2 linked regions of the Nothobranchius furzeri genome follow. The protein of the gene in region 1 purifies or fractionates together with the protein of each later gene. This does not show direct contact. Links are inferred from orthologs where the notes say so. Each region holds a gene or a part of one and is shown on either strand. Other genes may lie near its edges.

Region 1 (14,900 bases):
TTTGTGCCAAGCGTCTGTTCTCTGTTTGTTAGCCGTTTAGCTAGCTGAGCAAGGATATATGGGAGAAGCCTTGTAGCCTGGCCTTGGCCCAAACTTTCACAGAACAGCGCGGCATTTTAAAAGGATCAGACGCCGGCAGCGACTTCAGGGGCAAAGTTCCCGTTTAAATGTACGTCAACTAAATGTAGCTATCGGGTTGATACCTACAATCCAAAGCAGTTAGCTGTGGTTGGCTAGTTGCTCAGTAGTAGCAGCTTCGGTGGCTAGCAGGTCCCAACTCGCTTACATACTTAATTTAACCAATTATACACAATTAAAAAGGCTCGTTAGACATTTATACTGAAACTTATACGTATAAAATAAAACGTTACCTCATGTGACACGACTGCCATGGTCACCTGAGGTAAGAATGTTCCATTTAATTGTTTCTTCTACCAAGGAAGGACGTGTCCTTGTAAGCAAGGCGCCTCGACGTTGAGAAACACCCAGTGTTGCACGTAAACTGTTGCTCAGTAAGAAGAAAGGAACCTCTGGTTCTGACCTGTGAACTCTGGTGATGAACAACAACCAGGTTGTCCACGATGTTCAGAGCAAACTTCCCCGTTGTGTTCAGCTTCAACACATGACTCTTCTTACACGGGCCTTCCCTGCAGAACACAGCAGAACCTGTGGTCCACATGTGGGATGGGAACCCTAGTTCTCAGACATGTGCTGCATGTCCACGCCTAACGCCACCGAACCTTTAACCCGAGAGTTTACCCAAACCAGCGTCTGAACCTGGGGAGGTTTAGCGCCTTCACTGAAACGAAAAGGTACGTAGAACTAAAACGATGCAGATCTACATCAGATTCGGTTTGGAGACACAAAACCTCTGCAGGTTTACAATCACTGATGATGTCATCACAATCAGCTCGTCCTGCAATTTAGACCGTCTTCTAACGGAGTCTCATTTAATTCTCCGACTGGTCTCCAACTCGTCCCACATTTCTCTCAAGTTCCAACTGTTAACACCTGCTCCAGGAACTAGGGATGTCCCGTTCCCGTACGAACATCGGCCCAAAAACACCAGATTTTATCGGAACGCATCAAAAATCTCCGATGTCAGCAGGACGTTCCGCTTTAAACTCCATTCCAGCAGTTCTACCCATCAGCTCCCAGATCCAAAGTCCAGGTGATCAGAACAGTGTGTGCTAGCCCCATGTGGCTGTGTATTTGTTAAGAGTGTGACAGACAGCTTGGCTGGGAGCACAAGTTTCCTGCGGTGCAACAGAACCAGACTAACACGTCCAACCCCATCGTGCGTTGGAAGCAGGATCACTGAGGATTTTCTCACTCGACTTGTAGCGGTTGGTCTGCGTTTCCTCATCTCTCTAAACTCAGCTGTTCACATTCATGCAACCAAAGGTTAAGGGAACACTGGTCGGTTTTTACACTTACTGACGCTGGCTTGTTTTCAGTGCCAGTAAATCCCTGCACCGAGCCTTGTGTACGTTCCACTCTACGGAGCAGGTACAGGCACGTATGTTTGTGCTGATATCGTATCGGACAGCACTGAAGGACTGGAAGTAAAAAAAGATGTACGGAACATCCCTACAGGGAACATCTGTCCAGCGACACAAGAGCACGTCCACCAGACTCAGCAGGAAGTCCAGAACATTCCCAACAACCGTTTTAGTTTAGTAACGTCCCAAACATAAAACAGTTTCATGTGAGAACCGACCCTCAGTGACTCCTTCTGCAGGTTCAGAACAAAGGAAAAGAAATCCTTTGATCTTTTTCTTCTGCTCATTTAGGAACTGGTTGGTTGTTAGCTCAACCAGAACCGGTCCGGACGGGCCAGTGTGTGTCGTTACCTCGGTAGGTGATACAGAACCACCTCTGCACCAGGGCTGTTGGGCGTCCTGGAGTGATGCTTCAGATACATGACGTACAGCTGGCCGTAGCTACACACACACACACACACACACACACACAGAGTTATCCCCAATCCACATGAAGTGGAACTATTATTTACTCTCATTACATGGTTGCTATGGCGACATCTCGCTCAGACAGGCTGAGTTTGGCGGGTTTGGGGATGACCGGCAGTTCGATCTCAAACTTAGACATCTTGGAGATGGTTCCGTTCTGGGAAAGATGGATATTCACTATGAAAACACACACACACACACACACACACACACACACACACACACACAGGACGTGGGACTCACCCTGAAGGCCAGCGGCTGCAAGACGTTTCCCTGGACAGTAGTGGACAGCAGGAGGACGGCCGTCTCTGGACAGTACTGGTACCAGTTCACGTTGATGTTCTGACTCTTCTGCAGCTTCAGGCTGCGTTTGTCTGGAAACACCTGAAACCCACATTTCAGAACATTTCCTGCTGCTCCACATCTAAACAACAGTTTGACTCTGCAGAAGCGTCTGGCGCGCCACCGGTCTACCTGATAAAACTCAACGCCCTGGTCTGTTATGAAGACGATCTCGTTCCAGCTGGTCCAACAGAACCCCAGAACGTTGGCGTTCTTCGTCTGCAGAGCGACACAGAGGGTTACTGAGGGAACAGGAGGGAACGGAGATGTTTGACCCAAAGGCTGACGGACCTTACACTCCTGAGTGAACTCCATGTGTGGGTAGTCAGGAATGAAGTTGATGAAATCCTGTAAACACAACCAGAACCAGAACCTTAAAGGGAAGTCAGAATAAAAACATCCCACACGCTCCTGAACTCACCACAGACTTGGAGGTCCTCTGAACCGCCAGGATCTTGTTCCCGATGGAGAACTTGATGCACTTCACCTCTCCTTTGTCATCCATCCTGAGGAGGAAAGCGGCAGCCAGAGCAGGGTTAGGCAGGTCTTTCACCTGAGTCTACAGGTGAACACGCGGCTAGCTTAAACTAAACGGTGATTCCTGATGTACCTGAAGGCAACACTGCTCTTGTCATCTGGCCCTTTGACCACCACACCTGTGGCTCCACCTGAACGCACCGCGAACACCTACAGGGTTGAGGTTAGGGGTTACCGGCGCGCGACTGTAGCAGGTTAGCTTAGCCGATGCTAACTGTTAGCTCACCTGTTTATTAGCTTCATCGAAGAAGACGTTATTGACGCTGGACGCGTGTTCGAACTGGACCGGGTTCTCCTTCAGCTCCAGGTAATGCTCGTTGGCCATCCTCACACACCTGGCCGGTTCTGCTCCTGATGTTTGACCGGAAACCGGAAATCTAACTACAAGCCTTCCTTCTCCTTCACAATAAGAGACCGTTTCAACTGTGGTGAAACTTGTGTAGCAGCACACAGAACTAAACGTGCGTATCGCGCTTTGACGCACCTTCATGTGAACTCGTTTCCAAACCATGTTCAGCTGGAGAAGAGACCTGTTTTTGGTTTAGGCTGTTCGGTGGCGTTCTTGTGACAAGTCATGTGACCAACATTCATCACGTGCTTGCTTACAAACTTCAAAACACAAAAGTCGTGTTTAAGTTTTATTGAATCAAAATAAAAACATCAGATTTTCCTCTAACAGAAGATCCTCTACGCCCCGAAGAAACACCACTGCAGGGTCTCTCAGACACACACACACACACACACACACACACACACACACACACACACACACACACACACACACACACACACACACACACACCTCTGACTTAGATTATTTTATTAATCTGAACAAACTTCCTGACTCGCAGCTTCACACAAACACGCAGCAGTAAAGCAGGAGGACATGATGACGTCCCAGCTGGACCCACCATCCTGATCAGGGAGTCTTCTCCTCCTACAGCCTGAAGGAGGTGTTCCACTCTGCCCTCAGTTGGAGGAGGGTGGGGTTAGCGGACAGGTGTGGAGGAACCAAAGCCTCCTCCTCGTCTCCAGAACACAGCAGATGGTGACGAGGGCGGCGTTAGTCGTCAGTGTCCGGTTTTAGAGGAGGACCTCCATCCTCAGAGGTCACCGGGAACGATTTCTTTCCTCGTTTCTGGATGTGATCCTCGTTCCGCTTCTCCAGAGCCACGATCTGTCACAGAGCAGAATGATTCAAACACCTCGTATCCACCACGGCTCAACGCCCGCCAGGACCCTCTTTTACCTCCGACATGAAATCCGCCTCGTCCTCAGCTCCAACCGGGACACTCAGCCCCGTCACGGCGTTGAAAAGCTCGTAGACGCTCATCACGTCGCCCACGCCTCGCTTCTGGAAGAACTGAAACACAAACACGAGGCACCTGATACCTGGGGTCTACCTGGACACCAGCGGGACAGACTCAGCTGATGTCCCACACCAAACATCTGGATGTTTTACTTTCATCTGGATCGAAGCCGAACTATGGAGGGCGTTACCGTGGAAACGTTCCTGCAGTCTCTGAAGAGGAACTCCAGCCCGTGAGGATGAGTCGGCTCCACGGACTGACTCACGTCTATCAGCCACACCTTCAGCCAATCAGAGCAGGACAGAGAAAGATGAGTGGATGAAGGTTACAGGCTGAAGGTCATCATCATCATCATCATCATCACCTTCTCCTGGTACCACAGCATGTTGTATTCACTGAGGTCAGCGTGGACCAGGTGACATTCCTGATACAGCTGCTGCATCAGCTGCAGACACACACACACACACACACCTGGATGTTACCTGGTACAACTCCACATCAGCTACAAACACACACACACCTGTCTGTGAGACACACACCTGTAACACCTGGTAGTAAGCGGCTTTCATGTCCTCGGAGCTCAGCGTCACGTCCTTCAGCTTCGGAGCCGGAACGTGGTCCTTCCCGATGAACGACATCACCAGGATGTGTTTCTTCAGCAGAACCACATCTGGAACCGGAAGTCCAGCTTTCTTCATCCTGGCGACGTGAACAGAGACGTTTCACCTGCTGCAGCTGTGACTGGCAGACCAGAGCACCTGGGCTGTACCTGGACAGGTTGTGCATCTCCTTCTCCGCCCACAGCCGGATCACCTTCCTGGGGTTCAGTTTGCTGAAACGGTCTTTGAAGCGGTAATCGTCTTTGATGTAGCGGTCCCTGTTCTTAAACTCGTTCAGCGTGGTCTTAAACACCTTGAGGACCACCTCACCTGGTACGGGCTCCTCCTCCAGCCTGGACGGGACACACACACCTCAAACGTGAACCAGAACCCCTCAGATCCTGTTCCCAGCAGGTTCAGCTCCTCCCAGCTCACCTGCCCCCATCGGCGTGGAACACCACCGACTCCTTCCCGGTGCTGATGCAGCCGTTGATGTTCTCCAGCACGCCGGCGTTCACCATCTTGTACATCAGCAGACGGGTCCTCGGGTCCACGGCTTGTTCCTGTCCAGACACACGAGATCACGTTGGGACAGACAGCAGGACGGTCCATGGACCGGACTGTGGGACACGTACGGCGGTGGAGTGCTCCTTCTTCTCATGGAGCCGAGCGCTGCGTCTCTGCTCGCTGTAGCAGTGCTGCTTCAGAGAGTTGAAGACCTGGTTGGACAGCTTCAGGTCCATCCCCAGACCATCTCCCACCTGGACCTCTGGAGCAAACTGCAGGACAGGAGGACGGGGGACAGACAGAACAACATCCAGTTGTTGTGACTTCCTGAAAGCAGGAATCAGAACACCCAGAGGACTTCCAGAACCACCATCCAGACGGAGACTTACATTGTCCATCCGGGCCGTGTTCTTGCGTCCACAGGCCACCTCGTCATGTTTGGTGGTGATGTTCTTCCCCTTCCTGCTGAAGCCCCTCCTGGGCGTGGTCTGAGGTTTGTCTGGATCATCAGGAACACAAACATTACAGAAACGTCTCAGACGGCTCCTCTAGACCTGATGCAGGAACCTCACCGGCTCGGTACGGGTCGTGTCTCGTGTCCTGCCAGTCCACCTCGTCCTCCGAGCTGTCGCTGTCCTCATAGGGATGGACCATCCGATAGTTCTCAAAGGAGATGGACACTGGACAGAGACACAACCTGGTTAGGAAGAGAGTCCAACCGGGAACGGTCCTCTGACCCAGAACTGCTGGGCTCGTCTAGGCTCGACCAGCGGTTCTGGGCCCGACCCGACCCTACCTTTACTGTCTCCGTTGAACTTCCTCTCCTCCCGACGGAGCTGATCATCAAACTCTCGGTCAAACTGCATCTGCAGCATCTGGGCCAGCATCAGGTCACTGGTGGTGTCGGGACCGTCCTCCAGCAGCAGGTCCACCTCTGGGCTAAAGCAGAACCAGCTGTCAGACCCAACAGTCTGAATCGTAGCTGCAGGACAGGAGAACGGCGTGCTCCAGGTGACTCACCCGGTGAGAGCAGAGAAGCTGCTGTTGTCTTCCTCCAGCTGTGTGGCCAGCTGTTCGCTCATCACCTCCGTCAGGGGGCAGGCCGGGGCCGTCGGGCCCACACAACCCCACGGGTTCTGGAGAAACAGAGTCAGTTTCATGCTTCAGCTCAGATGGTTCTGTCTGGTTAGTGATAACCTCGGCGTTTATAACAAGTAACTGCTGATGTAATCTGATTACTTTGCAGTAAATCTACTTCCAGAGTTACCCAACCCCTGAGCCAGAGGGAGGGGTGCTGGTGCGGTTAGATAACAGTAGTGCCGTAGCCAGGCTGGAGGGACATGTCCTCGCATGTCTGAGAGGGGCGTGTCGCCTCAAACAGCTGACGTCATCCGGACGCAGAGGCTCAAATAAAACACCAGAATATTAAAGTTACATTTAAACGTTTTCTAATTGGATGTTGAAATAACTCCAACACCGAAACAGCTGGACACATCTGTGGCCACATGACTCCCACGTGACCAAACTGAAGGCCGTTTATCTCTAATCTGCCCTCCGAGCTAAGCTAGTTAAGCACGTTTACTTCTAACTCATACACGTTCAGCCTGGTCAGCTCTGACCTTCCGTCTCAGGTCCAATCGGGCTAAGCGACACGTTCGTGTAAAACCGGGCCAGACACAACCGGTACCGACCTTCCGCGCCTCCGCAGTGACTCCTGGCTGATCCATGGCTGGGACTCCGGTCTGTCGGCTAGCTAGCGCTAAAGCTAACGCTGGTGTAACTTTGTGGAAACAAAACGAGACGAGAAGAGCCGAACCGGAAGCTAGAATGTAAACGTCAGCAAAATGAAAATAAAGTTCTCAAGTCGGTAACAAACGTTTGTAAACGGATGAAAGTTGAAGACGACGTAGAGGCGTCTCACAGGACAGCGTGAACCTTTAAACACCCGGAAACACGTCACAGCCCAACAAGACTCCAACCTGCCTTCAAAATAAAACACTTTACATCACATCCTCCCGGAGTCGCCCTGTCCGTGTTCGAGAGCACAGAGATGTATGTAAACAGTGTTTATATACTTTATATATTCTCTTCATGGCCTATATAGTTATCAACGTAACATGATTTATGACCAACTAACATTTAGAGTTCTGCCACCGGATGTTTGGATCAAAATGAGAGCCAATCAGATCTTAGATCAGTTGAGAGCCAGGAGTTTCCCATCATGCCCTAGGTGTTGGAGAGCAACTGCAGCGCCTTGCTCCAAAATCTGCAGCCGCCTTGATCTCACTAGATTATCGTTGCCTACGTAGCCATGACGTCAGAGCAAGTCGGTGTTAAGTCTGACACAAATCTTACTGGCATGCACTGCAGTGCGCCGATCACCGGTGATCGAATCTGAACTCAAATCAGAACTGGCTCATCTCGAACACGGACTACAAATCAGAAATCGTCGGCACGTCGCATATGTGACGTCACCACAGAGTCTCATCTCCCCTAGCTAGCTGCTTACCACATGGCCAGATTTGTTATGGATTAAAGATTTGAAGTTCCCTGAATTCACCGCCATTTTCTCTCTCTCTTCTCTGTCTAGATCGATGACGTCGCTTTGGTGAAGCGCATTTGTAGTCCTGAACTTATTTTCACACAAAACTTAAAATAACGTCCCCCTCGCCAGAAAATAAGTGCGTTATGGTATCAAAATGTGTTTAAAATTTACGGACATCATGTGTGAAATCCATGGAACAAAACAGGCGGAATTAGAAAACAGCGTTTTTAGCCCTGTTGACTCAGGCCTAGTCCACACGTAGCCGGGTTTCTAAAAAAATGAATATCCGCCCCTCCAAAAACTTGCATCCACACCACCTCGTTTAAAAGAAACTCTGTCCACACGTACCCGGATAAATACGTTGTTAAGGACATGCCAGACCTGTAGGCGGCAGTACTTCCCCCGTTCTTAACCTCGTCCTTCGTCTGTGGTCTTCCGCAAGGATCAGTAATTCCGCTTGCAAAAACAAACAAGTAGAAAGCGCTTGGACAATTGATAAAGCGAGCGCAGCTCTGAGGGCGTCCATGCTGTCGGCTAGTGTAAACACAGGTCGCACGCGTGATGTCAGCATTTTTATGTCGCGGAAAGTGACGTTGCGGACCTTAAAACTCCGGTTTTGTCCGTCCACACGCAGACACCCAAAACGGAGAAAACGCAGATCTTCACTTTGGCCGGAGTTTTTAAAAAACTCCGTTTTCGTGTGGATGACAGGCCAAAACGTAGAAAATATCTACGTTTTGGCAGATCCCCGGCTACGTGTGGACAGGGCCTCATCTCCTCGTTCGTCGGGGGGCCCGTGGTCCGGAAGTAGATGGGCGGGGCTTAGGCTCCCTATTAATTAATAACACTGAGTTTTTATATATTTTTTCTCATGTCAACAGAAATTTTTTACAATAAATACAAATTAAATTTTCATAAGAATGCTTTTACTTCAACTGTGCCTTGAATCCAAAATCTGGTCTCAGGAGGCACTGATGCTTTAACTCATTATGAAAGCGTTAATAAAGAAAGAATGAATCACGGAGATCCATCCATCCATCTTCTGAACCCGCTTGTCCACGCAGGGTCGCGGGGGGGCTGGTGCCTATCTCCAGCAGTCAACGGGCAATCAGGTGGGGTACACCCTGGACAGAGAGCCAGTCCATCGCAGGGCAACGCAGAGACACACAGGACGAACAACCATGCACACACCAAGCACCCACATTGAGGCAAACCCGGAAATGAATAAATTGCAGTTCCACCCTCGTCCACTAGGGGCTGGTGTCAGAAGCGAGCAAATCCTCATTGACTCCCATGTTAAAAATACCAATTTCACAGCAGAAATAAACATGTTTACAGCCTGGTACCAGAACATGTTTTAGGTTTAAATGATCTAGTTTACACTCATGACAACTCTGAGGGGGGTGAATGTTTTTCTCACTCTTCTGTTTAAGTGTATTAAAAGCCTAAAATTCTGTATAATTAATGAGCATCAGACCCACGTGACCACAGAGCTAGCTCCGTGGAAAGGCCTCAGTAGAGCCTCGGTCTGGCCTGGAAACTGTTCTGGGATTCTGAGTCTCTGTGTTTGTGTATTCTTGTTTGGATATTATTTGTGCAATTGTTGGACAAAATGACTTGCTGTGGCATTAATTGCACTAATAGAGCGTCCAAGGAGTCTCCACTTCATTTTTTTCGGTAAGTAAAATTATATTTATGTATTTTAGGTCACTGCCGAGCTGAGCTTAGATTTTAACATGTACTGTTTAACCATGACATTTAAATGTAATAGGGCAGGGATTCCCTAAGTGTGGTGCGCTCCACCTCTCTTCCCTTTTGTGGAATTGTCTGGGCTTGACGGAACCTGTGACACGGTCAAAATGGCGGTGGTGGCCACCTCCCATTTAGCCTCAAAAACGTGATGGAGCCTATGGAAAGGAGATGTCCAGTATATTTATGTCGATGACACCCACACACACCTAAGGACAATTTAGACAGACCAATCAACCTAACAGTCATGTTTTTGGACTGTGGGAGGAAGCCGGAGTACCCGGAGAGAACCCACGCATGCACAGGGAGAACATGCTAACTCCATGCAGAAAGATCCTAGGCTGGGAATCGAACCCAGGACCTTCTTGCTGCAAGGCAACAGCTCTAACCACTGCGCAGCGGTGAATCACTGAGATCATCTTTGAAATAAAATAAAAACTCCCATCATAAATGTTTAAACAGTTTAATTCTGATATAAAACAATAAAACCTGCGTGGTGAATAAAGTTTATTCACATTAAACTCATTTTTAAGACAAATGTAATAAAAAGCTCTGATGATTAAATTCTACAGACAAACTAATTTATGGTCACAATAAACATGGCAGCAGTCAGCTGAATCACATGAAAACAGCTGGACTCGTTTAAACCGACCAGTAACAAATATAATAAAACATTTGCTTCAACTAAAGGAAAGAATATGACTTACATCACCTATGCGCGTGCTCGTAGGCACACACCGAGCTGTAAATGCGCGTGTTCGCCACAAGCTGTCCAGGTTGGTTCGCGAGCGCGCATATCAACGCTGTCACCAGCGGGCGCGTGCAGGTGTGTGAAGTTTTCCTGGATCAAAGCGGAAACCGGTGGTGCGGATTTCAAAATAAAAGCACAAGATTTAATGAAAAAAAAGAAAAGAAAAAGATGATAAATGAAAGTGTTACTTTGCAAATACAAGTAAAAATAAACATGTTTGTGTTACTTTTAGGGTGAAACATTAAATATTTAGGATCAACTTGACTATATCGCCTTCCCCTTGACCTGAAATCAACGTTAAATCTGTCCGTTAGCGAACTGCTTCCTGCTCACGTGGTAACAGGGAGCTGGTGTCAGTCACCATCAGTCACTAGGGTTGAGACGGGAGATACCTGGACAGGTCTCCAGTCCATCACAGGGACACAAAGACAAACATTTGAGTCAGCAGTTAGACAAAGGCACAGGGAGAACATGCCAATGGTCTACAGCAAGGCAGTGGCTGTGGAATCAAACCTGCAACCCTACTTCTGTAGGGCAGCAGTGCCATCACCTGCACCACCGTGCAGCTCCAGGCGTTACAACAAAAGAGCCTTTAGCCTACATAGAATGTGTTAGATGACAGGAGAGGGTTTCCTCACCTCCAACTGAAACCAGAACCAAGAGGACCAACAACATCCTGGCACCTGGGTGTGACTGTAACAGGTGTGTTTTCTAGTCCAGATGTCTGATTTCACGTTTATAGTGACTCATTCTGACTGTAGTCTGACTAAGCTGCTCTGTGAATAAACAAGGCCATCTTCAGTCTTATTTTGAAAGTCCAGAGCGGAAGCTGTGACTTACTTGCTAAACATGATCCTATCGGAGCATCCTGACGTCTTCTCCCGAAGCACAAAGTGAAATCGCGCCTCCTCCTCCCAAGGACGAGCCTCCTGCAGGATTACAACCGTCCTGTTCTGGAGAGCTGAGGGGTTTTCCCGCGGGATGCAGATCGCCTCCTCCTGCATCAGCACCACTACCGGAGGTTCGTTGGGCCGAGCAGGACAGCCGGGATTCAACCACCGAGCAGGTTCCCCCCCCCCCCCACCCCCCCACCCCCGGTCACATTCATTATCGGACATGATATTAAACGGCTGCTTAGTCCGGTTCGGTTCTGTCGGGGTGTGTGAGTTCAGCCCGGTGGGACGTCTGGCTGCAGGATGTGAGGAGTGTGTGTGTGAGTGTGTGTGTGTGAGTGTGTGTGTGTGTGTGTGTTAACCTGACAGTTGAACTTTTATTTCTTTAACCAGGAGGAGAACTCATTCTCATTTACAGCAGACCGTTAGCTTTACACCAACGGACAGATGAGATAACACGGTTGGACATGAAGACCAGAGACTAGAGAACATCCCATAATATCTGAGACCAGTTTGCTTCAGCAGCTGATGTTCTAGATAGGCTCAGAAATATACAGCATCCATCACTCACTCACTCACTCACTCACTCACTCACTCACTCACTCACTCACTCACTCACTCACTCACTCACTCACCCATTCATCCATCCACCCTCTTCCACTCATCCAGGGTCAGACCATGAAGCGATCAGAACCAGGAGAATCCAGACATTCCAGTTCTTCTGGGAGGATCCAGCCTATTCCCAGATCTTTTCCTATTGAGATGTTTTGGGGCACATTCCAATGGGAGAAGACCAGAAACCTCCAGACCAGGAGATAGGACCTCCTCAGCTGACTCCTGATGAGGAGGAGCATCTCCTGATCTCAGAGGCTGAATCAGCCCCCCACCCCCGACCTAGATGGACCAGTACACCCAGAGCAGACCTGAGCCATGTTCTCGTCACTGTAGATCAGAGGTATTCAATTCCGGTCCTGGAGGTGTGGTATCCAGCATGTTTTAGTGGTTTCTCTGACTCAACAGGCTTGATTCAGCTGTTCGGCAGCTCATCAGGTTCTGTAGAAGCTGTTCATCACCTGCTGATTGAAATCAGGACCTCCAGGACCAGAACTGAATAGCCCTGCTGTAGATAAAGCCCTCACCAGAGTGATGCCGACACGTTCTTCTGTCTTTCAGGCTGAGGAGGAGCTTCATGTCGGACCAAAGAGCCTCGCCAGACACGGCACTGTCCCTCAGAGAACGGGCTGAAGAGACAACCCAGGCTCCACCTGAGGCTCTGAGGTTAGAAGATCCCGTCTCCTAAAGGCTGAGGGAGCCATGACAGGAGGCGGCAGGAGGAGGAGGCTGTGTCAGCAGGAGGAACCCGGACAAACAGGATGTGAGTCCACCTGCAGCGCCCACAGGACTGAACCAGCTGGTGATTTAGGAGATCAGTGAAAGTCAGGTTTTTTCTAAAACAGCAGAACTCCGAGTTTTCTACCCCGCCGTGGCCTCCTGAGCAGACAGCAGAGATGATTGTTGGTTCATGAGCTGCTCCAAACCTTCTCCGCATCCTGATTGTCTCCACGTTTTCAACAGCAGCTACGATTGTTCCAGACACCACAGACAGAGACACGGTCCATCGGCTTTAAACTACCAACCGATTCCAGACTGGAGAAACCAACCTGAGGGTACTCGTTCTGGATGTTCGGACTAATATTGGACCAAGACTCCATGATGAACCACGTTCACACCAGTCTGGGCTCGGATACCACAGAGAAGGCTCGGCTAGAGCTGAACGAAAACCCAGATACTCTCCACCAGGACATCCAGCAGGTACACCACGCACCTGAAACACCCGACAGGCAGCAGGGATCTCTGAGTTTACAAGATCAGACCGGGAAAGTCCAAACCCCTGACCCAGGGAGGCCTACACGGCTTAGACGTTCTCCTGAGGTCTTTAGGTCTAGACTTTCTCCAACAGGACACGATGTGTAGCTTTAGAGATCCTCCAGCCTCCTTTATGTAGTCAAATGTTCTACTAGAGGTGGCTTCTACAGGTGTGGTGTAGACCAGCGTGCTTAACACTTGGGCCCTCGTATCATCATTATTAGTGCGTAGCACCAATTAAACGTAGGAACAGCCCCTAGTGGTAGAACAGGGAACCGCAGGACAGAAGGTCTCAGCCGTCCACGTTCCTCAGGTCTTATGGTAAATAAATACGTCTGCTTTTTATCGTAATTGGTGCTAAAACCATTAAAAGACACATGTGGCTGACGGGAATAATAACTTTATTTATAAAGTGCCTTTAAACAAAGCGCTAAACAACCCACAGCAGCATCCGCTACAGCCACATGGAGGAAGATCAACCCTAACCCTAACCCTAACCCTAACCAAATGCCTAAAGATTGATCAATCGTTAGTAAAAAGGTACGTTTGCAGTTTAGTGGTAACGCTTCTACCGAGCATGCTCGTCTGGCATCTGGTGGCAGATCATTCCAGAGCACCAAAAGCAAACGCACGCCCATCCAAAGCCATCCGCTTTACGCCGTGCCGAGCGATCGCAGCGCCCAGGATGCAACACATGGATCTGACATTGCATCAAGGCTGGATTTGGCCGAGCGTGCACTCTGGAGCCAACGCGTCCTCCATCAGCGCTCTGATCTCCACCAAGGAGATCCTCCTGGAGCGATGCTGGGATCTGGGATCCTTTGTAGCGCGAAAGATAAAGCGCACAAGTCCATATTCTGTTTAACAACTACGAGAACCAGATCATACATGCCGCGTTGCCATGGTAACCAGACTGAATAGGCATGTTTCCATTAGCAGAACTCCAGGGGAGTTCCTGGATGGGGAACTTGACCAGGAGATAGGACATCCCAGTCCTCTCAGCTGTTGTCTCCATTCTAATCCAGCCCGTCCACGACTTGCAGATGCCAGGAAGTGATGTCACTGATCTGCCCCAAAAGTAACATTAATAATATTAAAGCATCTATTTTATAGAATACATCACAATTTCATCCGCTCAGAGGACAAGAGCTCTGATGTTTGAGACACACCCCGTTGATTTTGTCTGTGAGGGAATTCCAGAGTTTTCCGGTGTCGAGAGTTAGATTTTCAATGTGATCGGTGCTTTTTTTATCTTCCATTCTGCTTCACCAGCTACTCTAACTTTAGTTACAAGTAAACAAGTTACTCTACAACTTATCAGATTCAGTTTATTTAGTCCTGACGGGAACCTGACATGACCTAAAACAACCCGAGATGACCTGAAACAACCTGAGATGACCTGAAACAACCCGAGATGACCTGAAACAACCTGACATGACCTAAAACAACCCGAGATGACCTGAAACAACCTGAGATGACCTGAAACTACCTGAGATGACCTGAAACTACCCGAGATGACCTGAAACAACCCGAGATGACCTGAAACAACCCGAGATGACCTGAAACAACCCGAGATGACCTGAAACAACCCGAGATGACCTGAAACAACCTGAGATGACCTGAAACAACCCGAGATGACCTGAAACAACCCGAGATGACCTGAAACAACCCGAGATGACCTGAAACAACCCGAGATGACCTGAAACAACCTGAGATGACCTGAAACAACCCGAGATGACCTGAAACAACCTGAGATGACCTGAAACAACCCGAGAGGACCTGAAACAACCTGAGATGACCTGAAACAACCTGAGATAACCTGAGATGACCT
Region 2 (15,303 bases), on another chromosome or scaffold:
GATCATCCCCGTGTTGTTTAGCATGCAGATTGTGTGACTCTCACCACAATGAACAAAACAAAACATATTGCTTTATTCTTTTCCATTTTTCTCCAGTTCCAGTTTGCATTCCTGAAATTTTCCTTAAATATAAGCAGACGATGAATGTTAAAGGGCAGGTCTGAAGGAACCATTTGCAGTATTACTGATCAATCATTGTAGCCTTGAGAAATAATCACCCTCATCTGATGCATTTTGACTGATTATTTAGTGTTTTAACATCAAAGGAAGGTGTGTTTGATCTCTGCTTCCAGCCTGTTTTGGACAACAGTAGAACTTGTTGCTGCTGACTTCAATTTGTTTTGAAACTAACATGAAATTTGATTGAAACGTGTGTTTTTATGAGTTCATAATTCATTTTCACTAAGCAGCGTGCCTTAAACTTGTCATTTGCTTTGCATTTTATACAAACCTTTGTAACTGCTCTCAGAAAAGTCTTTGCCTTTGTTTTTTTACCTGGGTGTTGCAACACATTTCTCTCGGATGGAAAATCTGTTGGTGCTTCTTTAATTTCAAAGCTATTTTATGAAACCACTTAGAAAAGGCACGCACAGATGCAGAATTTTATATAAAAATCTGCAACAAGTGCACTTTCTGGTTGGTACTGATAAACGTTTATGTCAGGATCCACAGGGATATTGATGGAAGATTAGGTAGATTTTTAAATAAAGGCCCTGCTGCTTTCCTTATTCAGTGTTACTCTGATGGAGCCTCATGGATTTGCTTCAGTCATGCTGCAGATTTCTAATTTCTGCTGTTTTATTGGATTCTATGTTTTTTATTATTTCATCTTGCTAAATAATTTCTGTATCAGTCTTGTTTTAATTTAAGTTTATTGAGGATTTGTTTATTAGAAAAGAGTGTTTCAGATATTAAGCTGAAATCAACAAATTCAAAAACGTACACGATGGGTGAAACATTTTATTTGAACACTTGTGTATAACTGAAGACGATTTAAAGATCAAGTTTTGCTGTATTTCAGTGTCAGACGGTAGTTATCTGTTGCATATCTTCATATGTGTTTATTTCTTTTACAGATTCTATCAGCTCCTTTTTAAAATGTTGGTTTATTGAAGTACGTTCATGGCACAGTGTCTGATTGGAGTTTCACATTGTAACAGATCTTAATACAACAGTATTAGCTAAACTTTGTGTGAATGTTTTTACTTTTGGTTGTGTTCATTGGTTGTAAAAGATTTAAGCTATTTTTGTAATTACTTGTCCAAATATAAATATATATGTGAAATAAGTAAAACAAAAAATCTGGTCCGTAAACATGCAGACAAAAATAAACTTTAAAGTGTTATGGTTTCATTTTATCATGCTAATGTGTCTTTTCCTTTTTGGTCGTGAGGGCAGCTTGAGCAGAGTTCTGTCTGTGTAGGTTTATCTAATTCCATTATTTTGTTCTTTTCCAAACACAGTGATAGATATTTGTTATTTACCTTTTTACAGACAGGTTTAGGCTACATCTGTAGCCGTTTTCATCATTGGTGACGCTCTGAAGAAGGCTACAGATGTAGCCCAAACTTGTCACCAAGAAGGTAAATAACATTTCTAATACTCAGTGTTCAGAAAAGAACCAAAGATGGAATTGGCTGAGCTCTCACTTCGGCATAAGAAACCGCTACAATGCCCACATCACTTTAGATGCAACACCAATCCTATTGATCGCCCACTACATTTTCCCTCACTCATTAGGAGAAGGCATTCTACCCTTTTCTGACTCAAGACCATGGTCTATGATTTCCAGGTGGGATTCTCATTCCGGCTGCTTCAAACTCACCTGTGGCCGAGATCACGGTCTGATGAAGCCAACAGGAACACATTATCTATAAAATGCAGAGAACTGATCCTTGGGCCACCAAAACAGATCCCCTCAACACCTTGGCTGTGCCTAGAAATCCAGTCCATAGATGTTAGGAGCAGAATCTGTGACAAAGGGTAGCCTTTGGACAGAGTCCAACTCATGGGAATGAGCCCAACTTACTGCAGAGTCCGATAAATTTTAGTGGCTGGGCTGCAAAGTGAAACAGCAGTCCACGGGGGGCGCTCATTACTGGCCTCCATCCAGGCACGAATGGATGCAATATCTGCATCAACATCCTGGGCCTGGCTCAAGTCCCCCATGGTCCAACCATGAAACAAAGGAACACATGTACCTTCTCAGTCTGCTTTACAACACGTGAATCAGTGGGAATGTTCTGATGTATTGTGTCTGTATGTGTGGAAGTGTTTTGGTCTAGACTCTAGAATATTTGTGTTGGGTGTAGGGGTGCTTTGACTTACCCCCACTGGACAGACTGTTGTGTCAGCCCGCCGGTCGCTCTTCCACCCCCACTGGACTCAGCAACAGAAATCTCCCATCAGAATCCAAGCTGCACTGGAATGCCAAATGTGTAGATGGGTTCGGAAGTTTGCATAGGCTAGACAGGTGGCATGGTCTTCTGGAAAGACTATCAGCATTTGTGTGCACCCGACCCGGGTGATGAACGATCTCAAAGTCATATTTGGCAAGCTTCTCAAGCCAACGAGCTAACTGTCCTTCGGGCTCTTTCATCTCTGTAAGCCAATGCAGGCTTCCATGGTCTGTGCACACCTTAACCCTGTGGAGGCAGGCGTTGCTGATTTGCAATGTTAAAACCTACCTACCTGATGCTCCACATACATATTTCATGAGCATTTTTTAACTTAGAAGTACCCCTGAAGGACTTAGTTGTTCGTCCTTTTATCAAAACTTATTTTGAGCCTGAGAGGGTTAAAGGGCTGCCCCAGGAGATACTGGCGGAAATGGGAAGTGAAATCCACAATGGCCAGCAATTGACTAGTAATTAAAATTGCGCCCACATTTTCTAAGTTAACACACATCTCTTTTAACAATGGTAGTTTTTGCATCTTTACAGTTCCCCTGCTTCAGAAGTTGAGGGCTTCCAGGAGCTCCCTCTAGCTCACCCATATTTCGAATGTTGCGTATAGCACAAGTTTGTCACGTGAGTTGCTGAATCCTAGCAGACAGTTGCCTTTCAAAATAAAATAGTTCCCGGATCTTGTTCCAGCAAGATCTGGCTCAAATTAAGCCCTGTCTACAAGTCTACAAAACACGTAGATTGGTTGGATGAACTCCTGTGCACCCTCTATGACCCTGCTAAGGGTATAGAGCTGGTCTAGTGTTCCACAGACCAGGAGAATATCACATTTTCCTCCTAAATCTGATTGATTATCCAGGGGACCTTTGTCTCTGGATCCTTTGAAGAGACTTTGCCTGCTAAGCTCAGGAGTGTTTTCCCCCTGTGGTTGGAGCACACCATCCAGTACCTCTTTATAAATAGGGGGATCATCACCCCAGTCTGTCAATCCAGTGGAACTGCCCCCAGTATCCACAATATTTACTGTGCCGCATCAACCAACACAGTCCCACAACATCCAGCGCCTTGAGGAACTCCAGGCGAATCTCACCCACCACTGGAGCCCTACCACTAAGGAGTCTCTTAACCACTTTGGTTGCCTCAGCACTAGAGACTTGATAGCCCAAACCCCCAGAATTCACTTCCTAAATGGAAGATGTGCCAGTGGAATTGAGGAGGTATTTAAAGTACTCTTTCCACTGACTCACAACATCCCAAGTGGAGGTCAGCAGTACACCATCCCCACCATAAACAGTGTTGGTGGTGCAGCTGTGTCACCCTCCTGAGACATCAAATGGTGGACCAGAATCTTCTCAAAGTATGAAACTCCTCCATGGCCTCATCAAACTCCTTCCAGCAGGTATTTTCTTCCTCCACCACCTGAACCACACTTCACTTGGTATCTGGTGCCTCAGACCAAAAGACTCAACAGGCACATACTACTCTGTGGCCGTAGCTCTAGTCAGCTGTTTCAACTTTTATTTTAGTAAAATAAAGCAAATGACTAAAGAAGTTTGAAAATGACATGTTTTAGAAAGTAAAACGTCATCTGCTAGGATGATCAAGTCTTACAGTGAGAGGAGGCTTACCATACAATTTTTTTCTAAGCACACAACACTGTTACCAATATTCTCACTTCAGCCTAATGTAACAGTGTTGAAATAGTGTAGCTGTGCAGTAGTTTACATATAGAAATATCAGATTATTCATAAAACATACCAGTAGAAAGCCTGGAAATTGAAGGATTCCAAATGTTGTTCAACATGTGAGATAAAACATTAATTATTTTGTAGCGTGGCATCATTGTCTTGTCTGTAATTGGCCTTTTTTTATTAGGTTATATGTTTTTATGGTTGTTTTATATTGTCTTATTTGTACTTGTTGCCTGCTGTATTGTCCAGCACCTTGGGTGTTTGATGAGATTGTGGAAGGGACATTACAATCTTCTGTGCATTCATTCTGGGTCTTTTTAACTTGTATTTTTTTTTTGGTTCTCTTTTAAACACAGGAAAGAAAAGTTTTCTTCTCTGTGTTTAAAAAAGAACCAATAAATAAATAAATAAATAAATACAAGAGACTTTACAAATAAAGTGAAATGAAATGAAAATTCAAATTTTAAAGATTGTTTGTTAATCAGTACACAAGTATAGAGCAGGCATGTATGTGGCCCTCATTTGTCGCCCTTGGAGCAATTTATGTCACTGTCGTCCCCCCCCCCCCCCCCCCCAACATTGTATGTTCAAACTTAATAGTCCATTTTGACAAATTTTAGGGAGTACAAATGCAAGAATAAATATTTTTAGCATTTAAAAAATGTATATGTTGTGGCCTACAAGGACAGTTAACTTGCTGATTTTGGCTCTTATCTAGGAAAGTTTGGACATCCCTGGTATAAAATATATCAAGGCGTCAACTTTAAAGCCGCCTTTCACATGAAAAGAAACAAATATTATGGGATTAAAGCTCGTGTGTGTGTGTGTGTGTGTGTGTGTGTGTGTGTGTGTGTGTGTGTGTGTGTGTGTGTGTGTGTGTGTGTGTGTGTGTGTGTAACATAAAGTATAAAAAATACGGACGTTTGTAAAATATAGAATATTCTAAAATCAGAAAATTTGTGTCCATCACAGACATTTTATTTTACTGGTGCTATGTTTCGTAAGAGCTTAATTTCCTTTATTCATTCAGACAGAAACATATCAGGGATGTGCACAGCTGTTACCAATAACCAAATCAGTGTGTATTACTTATATATAATGGTGATGTGTTGTAAGTGAAATGTTTTATCATGTTTCTAAACAGTCCCCTTCAGTCTTTTCTTGTAGCACACTTGGATGACTTGGGGAAAAAAACATATCCCAGAATGCTCTGCGAGCCCTTCACCCCTCTTAGTTTTTGCATCCGGGTCTGTACTTCCTTTTCCTCCGTGCCTAGATGCGATGAGGACCTAGGTTTTTACGAACCTGAGAAATATCCGAATCCATCCTTGTAAAAGGCACCACCGAACCTCGTCAAAATGACCGAGCAGATGACAGTGAGGGGGACCCTGAAGGGCCACAGTGGATGGGTCACCCAGATCGCCACTACCCCTCAGTATCCCGACATGATTCTGTCGGCGTCCCGAGGTGAGGCTTCCCCCGCCGGCAGCCGCCAACATGGCTACAGCTAGCTTTGTAAGCTAGCAGTGACTCTTTGGTAATGTTACAAAAATACGATTTTTGCGGAAGTGGCAGAAGACCGCTGAAATGTGATTACAACAGCCTAAAGGCTCATTAATCGCTTATAGTGAACATTTGCGACTTCAGAAGTGGAGGAAACCTGGTGTAGTTAAACTTGTGCTTTCTAGCGTCATTAGCTGGATCTACTGTGTTTCACTCCTGGGTTTACACCAACATAGCACCGACACTGATTCATCCAGTTAAACATCAGACTACTTGACATGAGGTTATAAGGCCTTGAACCAAGCGCTGCAATGTGATATTAACTTGATATTAACTTAAGTGCTAGCTTCGCATGCTAATGCTACCTACCTGCTCTTTGCTTTAGGCAATACTCCTGAGTCCTGAACCTTATGTGTTAAACTTTCAGACAAGTCCATCATCATGTGGAAGCTGACTCGTGACGAGACCAACTATGGGATCCCTCAGCGCTCTCTGAGGGGCCACTCTCACTTTGTAAGTGATGTTGTCATCTCCTCGGATGGACAGTTTGCTCTCTCAGGCGCCTGGGACGGCTCCCTCCGACTGTGGGACCTCACCACGTAAGTACAGCTAGGAAGAAAGCTTCTACATCAGATCCGCTGTCCTGTAAATATATCTCTTTACCCGTTTACCTGCTCCCAACATATTTAAATGTGTGAGAGCATCTAGAGAAGTCAACTTAGGAAGGTTGTGATGAAATCAGTTAATCTGGGTCCTTTAGAGCAGGAAACGTGTGGAACTTGCAGGATGGTACCCCTCAAGGAAAAAAGTTGCTGACCCTTGATCTGCATCATCTAAGCATCTATGTGGAACACAGTTTAAACTAGTTAATGCTTTTCTTTTTAGAAATAAGTAAGTTGGTAAAGACTTGCATGTTTGTATTAGCTGGAAGTATGTCCTTTCTAAATTTAAGTTGTAACAAACATCCTGGATAGTTTTAAAGATATGATTTGTCACCTTTGTTCTATAAATGAAAATGTGTTTGAACCGATGTTAACACACAGTCCGCGCTAATGCGTATTTGTTACTAGAGCTACAAACATTTCAGCACTTATGACCTCTAAATACCAAGTTGCCAGGGAACATAACTTAAGCCATAAAACAGTTGGGAAATGACATCTAGTTAAGCTACACCATGTGTAAACCCAATCTTGGTGAACAAACTTCATTTGCGTGTACATGACCGTGCAACAGCTTTTTATACTAGTGTTTTGTACCACAGATAGAACTTCAGTAATCTCGCACTAAATAATAAACAGCAGACATTTAAAAATGCAGTTATATACAATTACAATGTTTGTCAGAGATCCTATAAAATAAATTCTCCCAGTTTCTTGTACCCGACACTGTTGTTCCACAGTGTTATTGTCCTTACTACACCTTCATCACTTTATACACTCCTTAGTTGTGACTTAAGAGAACAGTAGATCTAAATAAATGGGTTTGGGGTTTATACAGGAATAAAACTACAGTCCATGTTTGAACAGTTTTAATCATCTAAGTGAGGAGCTGGAATTTGATTCTGGCTAAAGTGCTGGAACCCGATATAAACTGAACCTAAAAAAAATTGTCATTGATCGGCATTAAGGTTTGTGTACTAAAGTGATTTGTTTGAATACAAGTGGGGAAAAAAACTGTTTTAACTCCTTAAATGACTGTAGCTTGTAGAGGCCATAATTAGTAGAGGAGGGCAGGCATTTTAAACTGTAAACTTAATATAGCTTTATTCTAATCGGACGTCTTAATCTTGTGTTTTTCTAGTGGCACCACCACCCGTCAGTTTGTTGGACACACAAAGGATGTTTTGAGTGTGGCTTTCTCTGCTGATAACCGTCAGATTGTATCTGGCTCCCGAGACAAGACCATCAAGCTGTGGAACACTCTTGGAGTCTGCAAGTACACCATTCAGGTGAGCTGTCACTTAATGCTGCTGCTGCTGCTGCTTAGAGCTGTTCCTTCTTTGGTTTTCATTTAGTTTTTGTTCAAGCTTTTTTTTTTTTTTTTAACTAGTTTTACATTTTCTGAGGTAGAGCACACAGCTCAGCCATCAGCTGGAGCATTGTGGACTAAATCTGTATGATGGTTTTAAGTGTGTAGTGTGTCAGGATCATGGAATAAGTCTCGGTGGTTACATGAGCTAAAGTGAGCCATTGTTGGGATGAGCTGAACTTTAAACTGTTCAAACTTGATTTTGCAGGATGAAGGCCATTCTGAGTGGGTGTCTTGTGTTCGCTTCTCCCCCAACAGCAGCAACCCCATCATTGTCTCCTGTGGCTGGGACAAGGTGGTCAAGGTATGGTTTACTAGTAATTTGCTAATGTTTGGTCCTGGTTAGATGGTTTAACTTAGTTTGCATTTATTAGCTGACTACTTGCGTAAGACAACCTTTTTTATGATTAGCTTCCATGTTGGATGTTGATGTTTGTTCTGTCTCGGGTGTGATGCCTCTCAGGTGTGGAACCTGGCCAACTGCAAGCTGAAGACCAACCACATTGGTCACACTGGCTATTTGAACACAGTGACCGTCTCCCCTGATGGCTCTCTGTGTGCATCTGGTGGAAAGGTAACATCTGCTTCCAGTAATTGTAGATTTCTGTAAAATGTTCTTTTTTAGAATCTTTAAGTGAACGGACAAGTTTTTGCAATGATGGAAAATTAATCATACATCTGTTTTAAAATGATGACAATAGAGGCTGTTTCTGAGCACGACTTGAACTTGTCACGATCCCCGTTTGTGGGGTTGGGTATCGTGTTAAGAGCTGCGATGTAATCACTGAAGAATGTTTTCTGTTGGTGTTCAGGATGGCCAGGCCATGCTGTGGGACCTGAATGAAGGCAAGCACCTGTACACCCTGGATAGTGGTGACACCATCAACGCCCTTTGTTTCAGCCCCAACCGTTATTGGCTCTGTGCCGCCACCGGCCCCAGCATCAAGATCTGGGTAAGATGTTAAGCTAAACATGTTATCAAGGAGGACTGTGATGAAATTTAAAATGTTAGCTGTATTGTTTGATGATATCAGAGGCTGTTTCTGAGCTCCGACCCAATAGAGAATGTCAATAAATTCAGGTATGTTACTTATTACCTTGGTTAGAGATACCATCACTCTGGTTCTCTTTTACCTCATTCAGGATCTGGAGGGCAAGATCATTGTGGATGAACTGAAACAGGAAGTGATCAGCACGAACAGCAAGGCAGAACCGCCACAGTGTACTTCCCTGGCGTGGTCTGCTGATGGACAGGTACGACACTCTCTGGAGGACCTTTAAATGCAGATTTCTGTTGTGACCCCTGTGATTATACCCATTCACTTTTAACTCTGATTAATTCTGCTGACAGTCCTGCAAATATGAGGGGCACCAGAGAACCACTCACATGATTGAGCCTTTTTGAAAAGCGTGCTATTATGGATGCTAACTTCTGTTCCTCTTTTACTCAACAGACCTTGTTTGCTGGCTACACTGACAACCTGATCAGAGTGTGGCAGGTCACCATTGGAACACGATAAGAACAGCCTTGCTAATGCAGCTTTGAATAAAGAGACTCTTTGAAAATAAAATGTTTTGATCTTGTATTTAATTTTGACTGTTAAATTGTTTTTTATCAAAAGGGAACATCGATCACATCGATTTAAAAAAATCTGCTGAAACAATGATCAACAGTAACGTGAAAAAATGATTGAAAAATTAGGGAAAACTAAGTTTCTGTATTTATTTATTTTACTTATTTTGCCTTTATTTAACCAGGTTGGTCCCATTGAGATACAAGATCTCTTTTGCAAGGGAGACCTGGCCAAGACGGACAGAGCAGCAGCACAAGTTACAAAATTAATACATTCACATTTAAATACATTTCCACATAAACTCAATTAAAACAAACACACTGATGGTCTGGATTCCAGTGACCTAATCAGTCAAATCCACTCAAGGAAACCAAATCCTTGATTTTTAGATCTTTTTGTAGTGAATTCCATGTTGATGGAGCAGCAAAGCTAAAAGCCGACTTTCCCAGCTCTGCGAACCTTAGGAACAACAAATTGCAAAAGTTCACTTGAGCGGAGATTGAACTGATTCTGCTGTGAGGATGGAAACATCCCTATCAGCTTGGACCAGTTTTTATTAAGTGAAATGGGATTTAAAGTCTGAAACATTTCTATTTTTTAACACTGTTCAAATAACTGCTTGTACATTAAATCTTGGCTGCTAATCTGAAATGGAATACAGAATTAAAATTACACAAAAAAAAAACCATGGGACAACCGGTCATTAAAATTTTGATTTAACTGGTGGTTTTCTAAATCTGGGGCTTGTAATTTGGAAAGTTCAACTGACGTTTGCAATTCGCATGGATTGTCCTACTTCAGACGCCGTAATTGTATCCTAGCAACTAGTCGACAGAACGAGCCCAGAGTGCTGCTCCAGGTTGGAGTTCCTTGTTTAGTTTACTGCTACATAGTCAAGTTTTGCGTGAGCCGTATTTCGTGGCCATTTAGCGTTCAGATGAAGATGGATCGTAAAAGGCCATATCACCGTGTCATCGTAGAGAAAACGCTGGCCGTCATTAAGCCAGACGCGTTTCAGCTGGCAGATGAGATTGAGAATGTTATCGTCAAATCTGGCTTCAGTATACTTCAGGTGAGTGGAAGTCACCTACTTTCTAGAGGCGCGTTTTCAATATTTGTGGAAGGAAGATATTTTTATTAAAATAGATTTATTTAGATGCCCGATAAACGCTGATTTCCATTGATCATCCTACGATCTGGTTTCAAATATTACGCTTCATGGCTTCAAAAGGTGACCGCTTTTTGAGGCCGTGTGGCTCTTACGTAGTTTTTTCAGTAGAGGGCAGTAACGGGCTGTAATTTTACTGGAAACCCTATTAAGACACCTTTTAAACGTTTAAAGGTGAATGTCTGCATGGTGTTTCTGTACATCTTTTTTCTTTCTTTTTTTTTTTTTTTTTTTTTTTTTTACTAATTGCACTTCAAAGATACTTATTGCTGTTAACTGAAACATGTCAACCATTTGATCTAGGAATGTGTGGATGTTAAATACTACAGATTACTTATATTTTTTGACTGAAATTTCACATTCACTCTTGACCATGACCTGTCAGTAATTTGCATAGACAAGTTAGTGGAAGACCTAAAACAGTGAACTGTAATGTGTGCAGCTACACACCAAATAATATACATGGGGGTGGAAGACACCCTCCTCTACCTGCAGCACTGGGTATATGTCGATGGTGCTGGCTCACCTCAAAATGCAAAAAAGCAATCTCAAGTGCTTTTAACACCATACAGCCGTGTCTACTGCAGCAGAAGATGAGGGGTGCAGGAGTGGTTGAACATCTGACTGCATGGACCATCAACTATCACCAACTGGCTACAGTACGTGAGGCTGCACAACTATATGTCTGATGTGTTTGTGTGCAGTACTGGAGCTCCACAGGGTATGGTGCTCTCACCCTTTCTATTCACCTTCTATACCTTGGACTTCAGCTACAAAACCAGCAACTGTCACCTCCAGAAGTTCTCAGATGACTCAACCACTGTCGGCTGTGTGTCTGAGGGGAATGACCTGGAGTACAGGTCAGTCACAATGGACTTTGTGGACCGGTGTGAATGTAACCACCTTCGTTGGGGTGCAGGCAGCTCTGACCAAGACTGGAAGCTCGCTTCTGGGCTGCCAACTAGTTTCAGTTGAGGAGACATGTGAATGGAGGATGGTGGGCAAAAGGACCTCCCATTTTGGAAAACCCCTCCCACCTATTGCATTCCACTGTGGAGGCCATGGACAGCTCCTTCAGAGGCAGACTGAGACATTCAAGATGTAAAACAGAAAGCTGCTGTAGGTTATTCATCCCCTCAGCAGTAAGAGTGTAAAACTCCTGAGATCAACTGGTACTGGCATTATCCTGTTACACAATAACATCTGTGCAATATTTAGTATGAGTTCAATACTTGTGCAATACCTGATGTACATCAGCATGTCTGTGTCCCTTGTGCTGCATAGTTCTGGAATCCAAGTTTTTCTTTTTTTATTTGTGGTTTTTAGTTGTTGAAGCTAACAATAATACCTTTGTGTATTTACCTGTGATCTTCTTCTTCTTCCTTTTCTAAGCATATGCGCCGCTGCTGTAGAAAGTTAATTTCCCCATAGTGGGATTAATAAAGTGTATTCTATTCTAAAACATTGTTACAGTTTACAATTGAAATTACTGCTCCCCTTGGTTCTATTTTTGTCAGATATTGCAGTACTGTACAGAACTGCTTTAGACAGATTCATGAAAAGTTGAAGTATAATGTCTGTGAGAGCTTCACAGTGTCACTTGTCCATTTAAACAAATCTGAGCTGTCTGAACTAGCTTAATATTTTTGAAGTTATATTCTATTTTCCACCACAGTGGTTCACTCACTCCACTGCTCTGTTTTCTGTGGCAGAAGAGAAGGCTGCAGCTGAGTCCAGAGCAATGCCACGACTTCTACGCAGACCAGACACTCATGTTCCCCAGTTTGACGGCCTTCATGAGCTCTGGTCCCATTGTTGCCTTGATGCTGGCTCGTGACAATGCTATCGCCCACTGGAAGTCCCTTATAGGGCCTGCCAATGCTACCAAAGCCAGAGAAACCCACCCAGAATGGTAAATCGCAGATATTTCTGCCAGTAGAAAAAAAGCATTTATGTAGTAAAATCAATGTTTGTCTTTTTACAAAGACTCAGGATTTAAATGTCCTCTTGAGGCAGGTTTCTACTTACATCCCAATTTATTAAGACATACCGACAATTTTTGCATACCGTTTCCCCTGATATATTTCTTTTGTACCTACAAAACCCACTGCCATTTTTCCGAATATTATGTGCTCACCTTGAGTTCATTTGTGAATGTGCTACTGGTCTGAGCTGTAAATCTTTAGTTTCTATTCTGCCTTTAGCCTCAGAGCAAAATATGGAACGTCTGAGCTGAAAAATGCCCTCCACGGCAGCGACTCGTGTGACGAAGCTGAGAGGGAGATCAAATTCATGTTCCCAAACTGTATGTTCCTCTCTCACCCATGCGATTATTCTTAAAGGTAATTACTATTGACTGTGATCTATCCCTTATCCTCTCTTTCTGTAGCTATAGCTGAACATGTTCCTTCAAGATGTGAAACAGAAGAATACATGAACCAGTATGTAAATCCAGCCCTGCTGAAGGGACTCACTGAACTCTGCAAGGAAAAGCCTCTGAACCCCTGTGTAAGGACTGATGCTCAGTGTGAGGAAAGATATTAAATATTATTCATCTGCTGTTGAAGGGGTTATTGTTAACATGTTGATTTCTGTCCTGCATATTTGTATTCAACAGATCTGGCTAGCTGACTGGCTTCTGAAAAACAATCCAAACCAGCCTCAGATATGCGACAAGGACACTGTGGAAGACTGATGGAGAAACAAGGAGGGAAGTCGGTTCAGTGGTTTTGCTTTTGACAAACTCTTCAGTCTGTTGGTGTACAATAATAAACAGGATTTTCAGCAGTTGACATGTTTTATTTTTCTGTTATATAATAATTATCTCAGGCCTTATTCTCCAATGAGTTCATCTTGCATCATTGATTAAATCAGTGAAAAATGTCCCATCAAATAATTGAATGCAAGAGGTTACGTGGTTAAAACAGACACCATGTTCGTTAAACACTGTTTTGGCCATTTTATTCATCAAAACAGATTGTGCTGCTGCTCTGGAGTAAACCCCACCGGAGTCTGAGTGAAAAGCAATAATTGTGGGTCAAAGCTGACAGTTTGTAGGATTTATTTTTTTGATCGACAGCGTGGCTATCTCCACCGAATACACAAGTTTTAGCAGCTGAAAAAAGGTTCATCGAGTTCCTTCCTGTGTTCTGAAGGCGTGAACGACTTGGACGAAAGAGACATTGACGCATTGTGATTGGGTGATGCTGCGATTGACAGCTTGCCTTAACCAATCACGTTGCCTCTTGGCAGAACTGTCTCCCCCACCCTACCGGTGCTGAAAAACCAACCACGAGTTGGCGTCGTGTGGGAGAATCCATCTTGAAGAGAGCTCTCTGGTTGTGCGACCAGTAAGTACTGTTATATTTTTATAGCTTGATCGTGTTTTAGAAGACTGACGCTTAGACAGTCCGGTATTGTGTTGCCCCTCCATATTTGTTCAGGTCAACGTTGAACAAATGTGTTAACCGCGTCACGAGGCCACATTTCGTGCCGTTACGGCCTCTTGTCTGTAGCTTACGTAACTGCGAATTTTAGTTGCATAGTCCAGCCTTGGTTTATCTGTGTGACACAGAGGGCAACAGCGTTGCTAATCGCTGCCCTTCAGCAGAAGTGTACGATAGATTGCGTCTAGTTAACGGGTTTTGTGAGGAAGCGGCCAAGTACTGCTACGTGCGTACGCGGCTTCGCCGGCCAAAATGGTGGGGTACGCACGCAGTGGCACCACGTCAGTGGCGAGGCTTTGTGGAAACACCGGCGCTTATTGTGCAAAAAACTAGGTAATTCTTCTGTGTGGTTTTAGGTGCATTAGTGAAAAATGTCTGAGGCGGAGCAACAGTACATGGAAACATCGGAGAACGGCCATGAAGTCGACGATGATTTTAACGGAGCCGGCCACACTGACGAGGGGGACGATGGCGGCGCCGAGCTTGACTGCGGACAAGGTGCGGGGACTGACTCGCAAAATGGAGGCTCCGATGGCGGCCAAATCGACGCCAGCAAAGGTGAAGAAGATGCCGGGTGAGTTTTGCACGTCTTAAGTTGTGTTTGTATGAAGTGGGCAACAATAAAACGTGATCTTGTTTTACAAATGTCTCTTTGTTCAGCCGGCCTTTTGTTGGCGCCATGTGCAGAGTGGAGGGGGATGGGCGTTTCGGAGGGAATGGCATCCAACAGCACTGACTTATCTGCAGAATCCACACATAAATGGGCATTTTACTCGTTTATAACGTCATAGATTTTTCTAATCATATTTATGAAGTAGCTCAAGGCTATAACACCATAAGGTGCCCCCTCCCCCACGCGCCACTAGGTCAACAGATGTGTTGGGAACACTGTGTACATCATGTATACTGACGCCCCCTCCGCTTCTGCACCCTTCCCCTCTGCCACCCTGTATGACTAAATGTGCACTTGCTTCTGTGTTTAGGAAAATGTTTGTTGGTGGCCTCAGCTGGGACACCAGTAAGAAGGATCTCAAAGATTACTTCTCAAAATTTGGTGAAGTGACCGACTGCACCATCAAGATGGACCAGCAGACCGGCCGATCAAGAGGCTTTGGTTTTATTCTCTTTAAAGATTCGGCTAGTGTAGATAAGGTCAGTAGGAAGGCAGTGATGTTGCGTGTATATTTCTCCAAGGCGGGGTGATTAAAAATGGCCTTTTCTTGTCTGCAGGTTCTTGAACAGAAGGAGCACCGGTTAGATGGTCGACAGATTGACCCCAAAAGAGCCATGGCCATGAAGAAGGAACCAGTAAAGAAAATCTTTGTAGGAGGGCTGAACCCCGACACTTCTAAGGAAGTCATTGAGGAATACTTTGGGACCTTTGGAGAGGTGCTTAATCAGTTTTTCTAATAATTAAGGACTTTTGTTTTTACCATTTTAATCATTGGCGCTCCTCTTTTGTAGATTGAGTCCATTGAACTTCCACAA

What was found.
Region 2: the proteins of riok3 (region 1) and rack1 purify together in Homo sapiens (affinity purification with mass spectrometry; 3 studies listed by BioGRID and IntAct, counting the BioPlex papers as one, with this or other methods). This does not show direct contact. The link is inferred for Nothobranchius furzeri from reciprocal best matches to the Homo sapiens genes RIOK3 and RACK1.

The regions. Positions count from the first base shown.
Region 1 is NC_091747.1:64,131,726-64,146,625, forward strand, and holds riok3 (serine/threonine-protein kinase RIO3), read right to left. Parts: upstream 7,216-14,900; 5' UTR 6,993-7,215; coding exon 6,957-6,992; intron 6,624-6,956; exon of another isoform or gene 6,505-6,623; intron 6,402-6,504; coding exon 6,286-6,401; intron 6,205-6,285; coding exon 6,062-6,204; intron 5,946-6,061; coding exon 5,838-5,945; intron 5,765-5,837; coding exon 5,655-5,764; intron 5,538-5,654; coding exon 5,394-5,537; intron 5,322-5,393; coding exon 5,194-5,321; intron 5,112-5,193; coding exon 4,929-5,111; intron 4,859-4,928; coding exon 4,699-4,858; intron 4,605-4,698; coding exon 4,524-4,604; intron 4,440-4,523; coding exon 4,350-4,439; intron 4,213-4,349; coding exon 4,099-4,212; intron 4,027-4,098; coding exon 3,913-4,026; 3' UTR 3,653-3,912; downstream 1-3,652. Other genes in the region: clavesin-1, read left to right, coding at 12,884-13,015.
Region 2 is NC_091741.1:97,225,337-97,240,639, reverse strand, and holds rack1 (small ribosomal subunit protein RACK1), read left to right. Parts: upstream 1-5,342; 5' UTR 5,343-5,454; coding exon 5,455-5,563; intron 5,564-6,026; coding exon 6,027-6,198; intron 6,199-7,399; coding exon 7,400-7,547; intron 7,548-7,835; coding exon 7,836-7,931; intron 7,932-8,090; coding exon 8,091-8,201; intron 8,202-8,439; coding exon 8,440-8,580; intron 8,581-8,770; coding exon 8,771-8,881; intron 8,882-9,081; coding exon 9,082-9,147; 3' UTR 9,148-9,198; downstream 9,199-15,303. Other genes in the region: nme5 (nucleoside diphosphate kinase homolog 5), read left to right, coding at 10,139-10,273, 12,082-12,281, 12,574-12,674, 12,759-12,877, 12,987-13,064; hnrnpaba (heterogeneous nuclear ribonucleoprotein A/Ba), read left to right, coding at 14,187-14,389, 14,799-14,967, 15,046-15,204, 15,280-15,303. UniProt on the Homo sapiens protein: Scaffolding protein involved in the recruitment, assembly and/or regulation of a variety of signaling molecules. Interacts with a wide variety of proteins and plays a role in many cellular processes.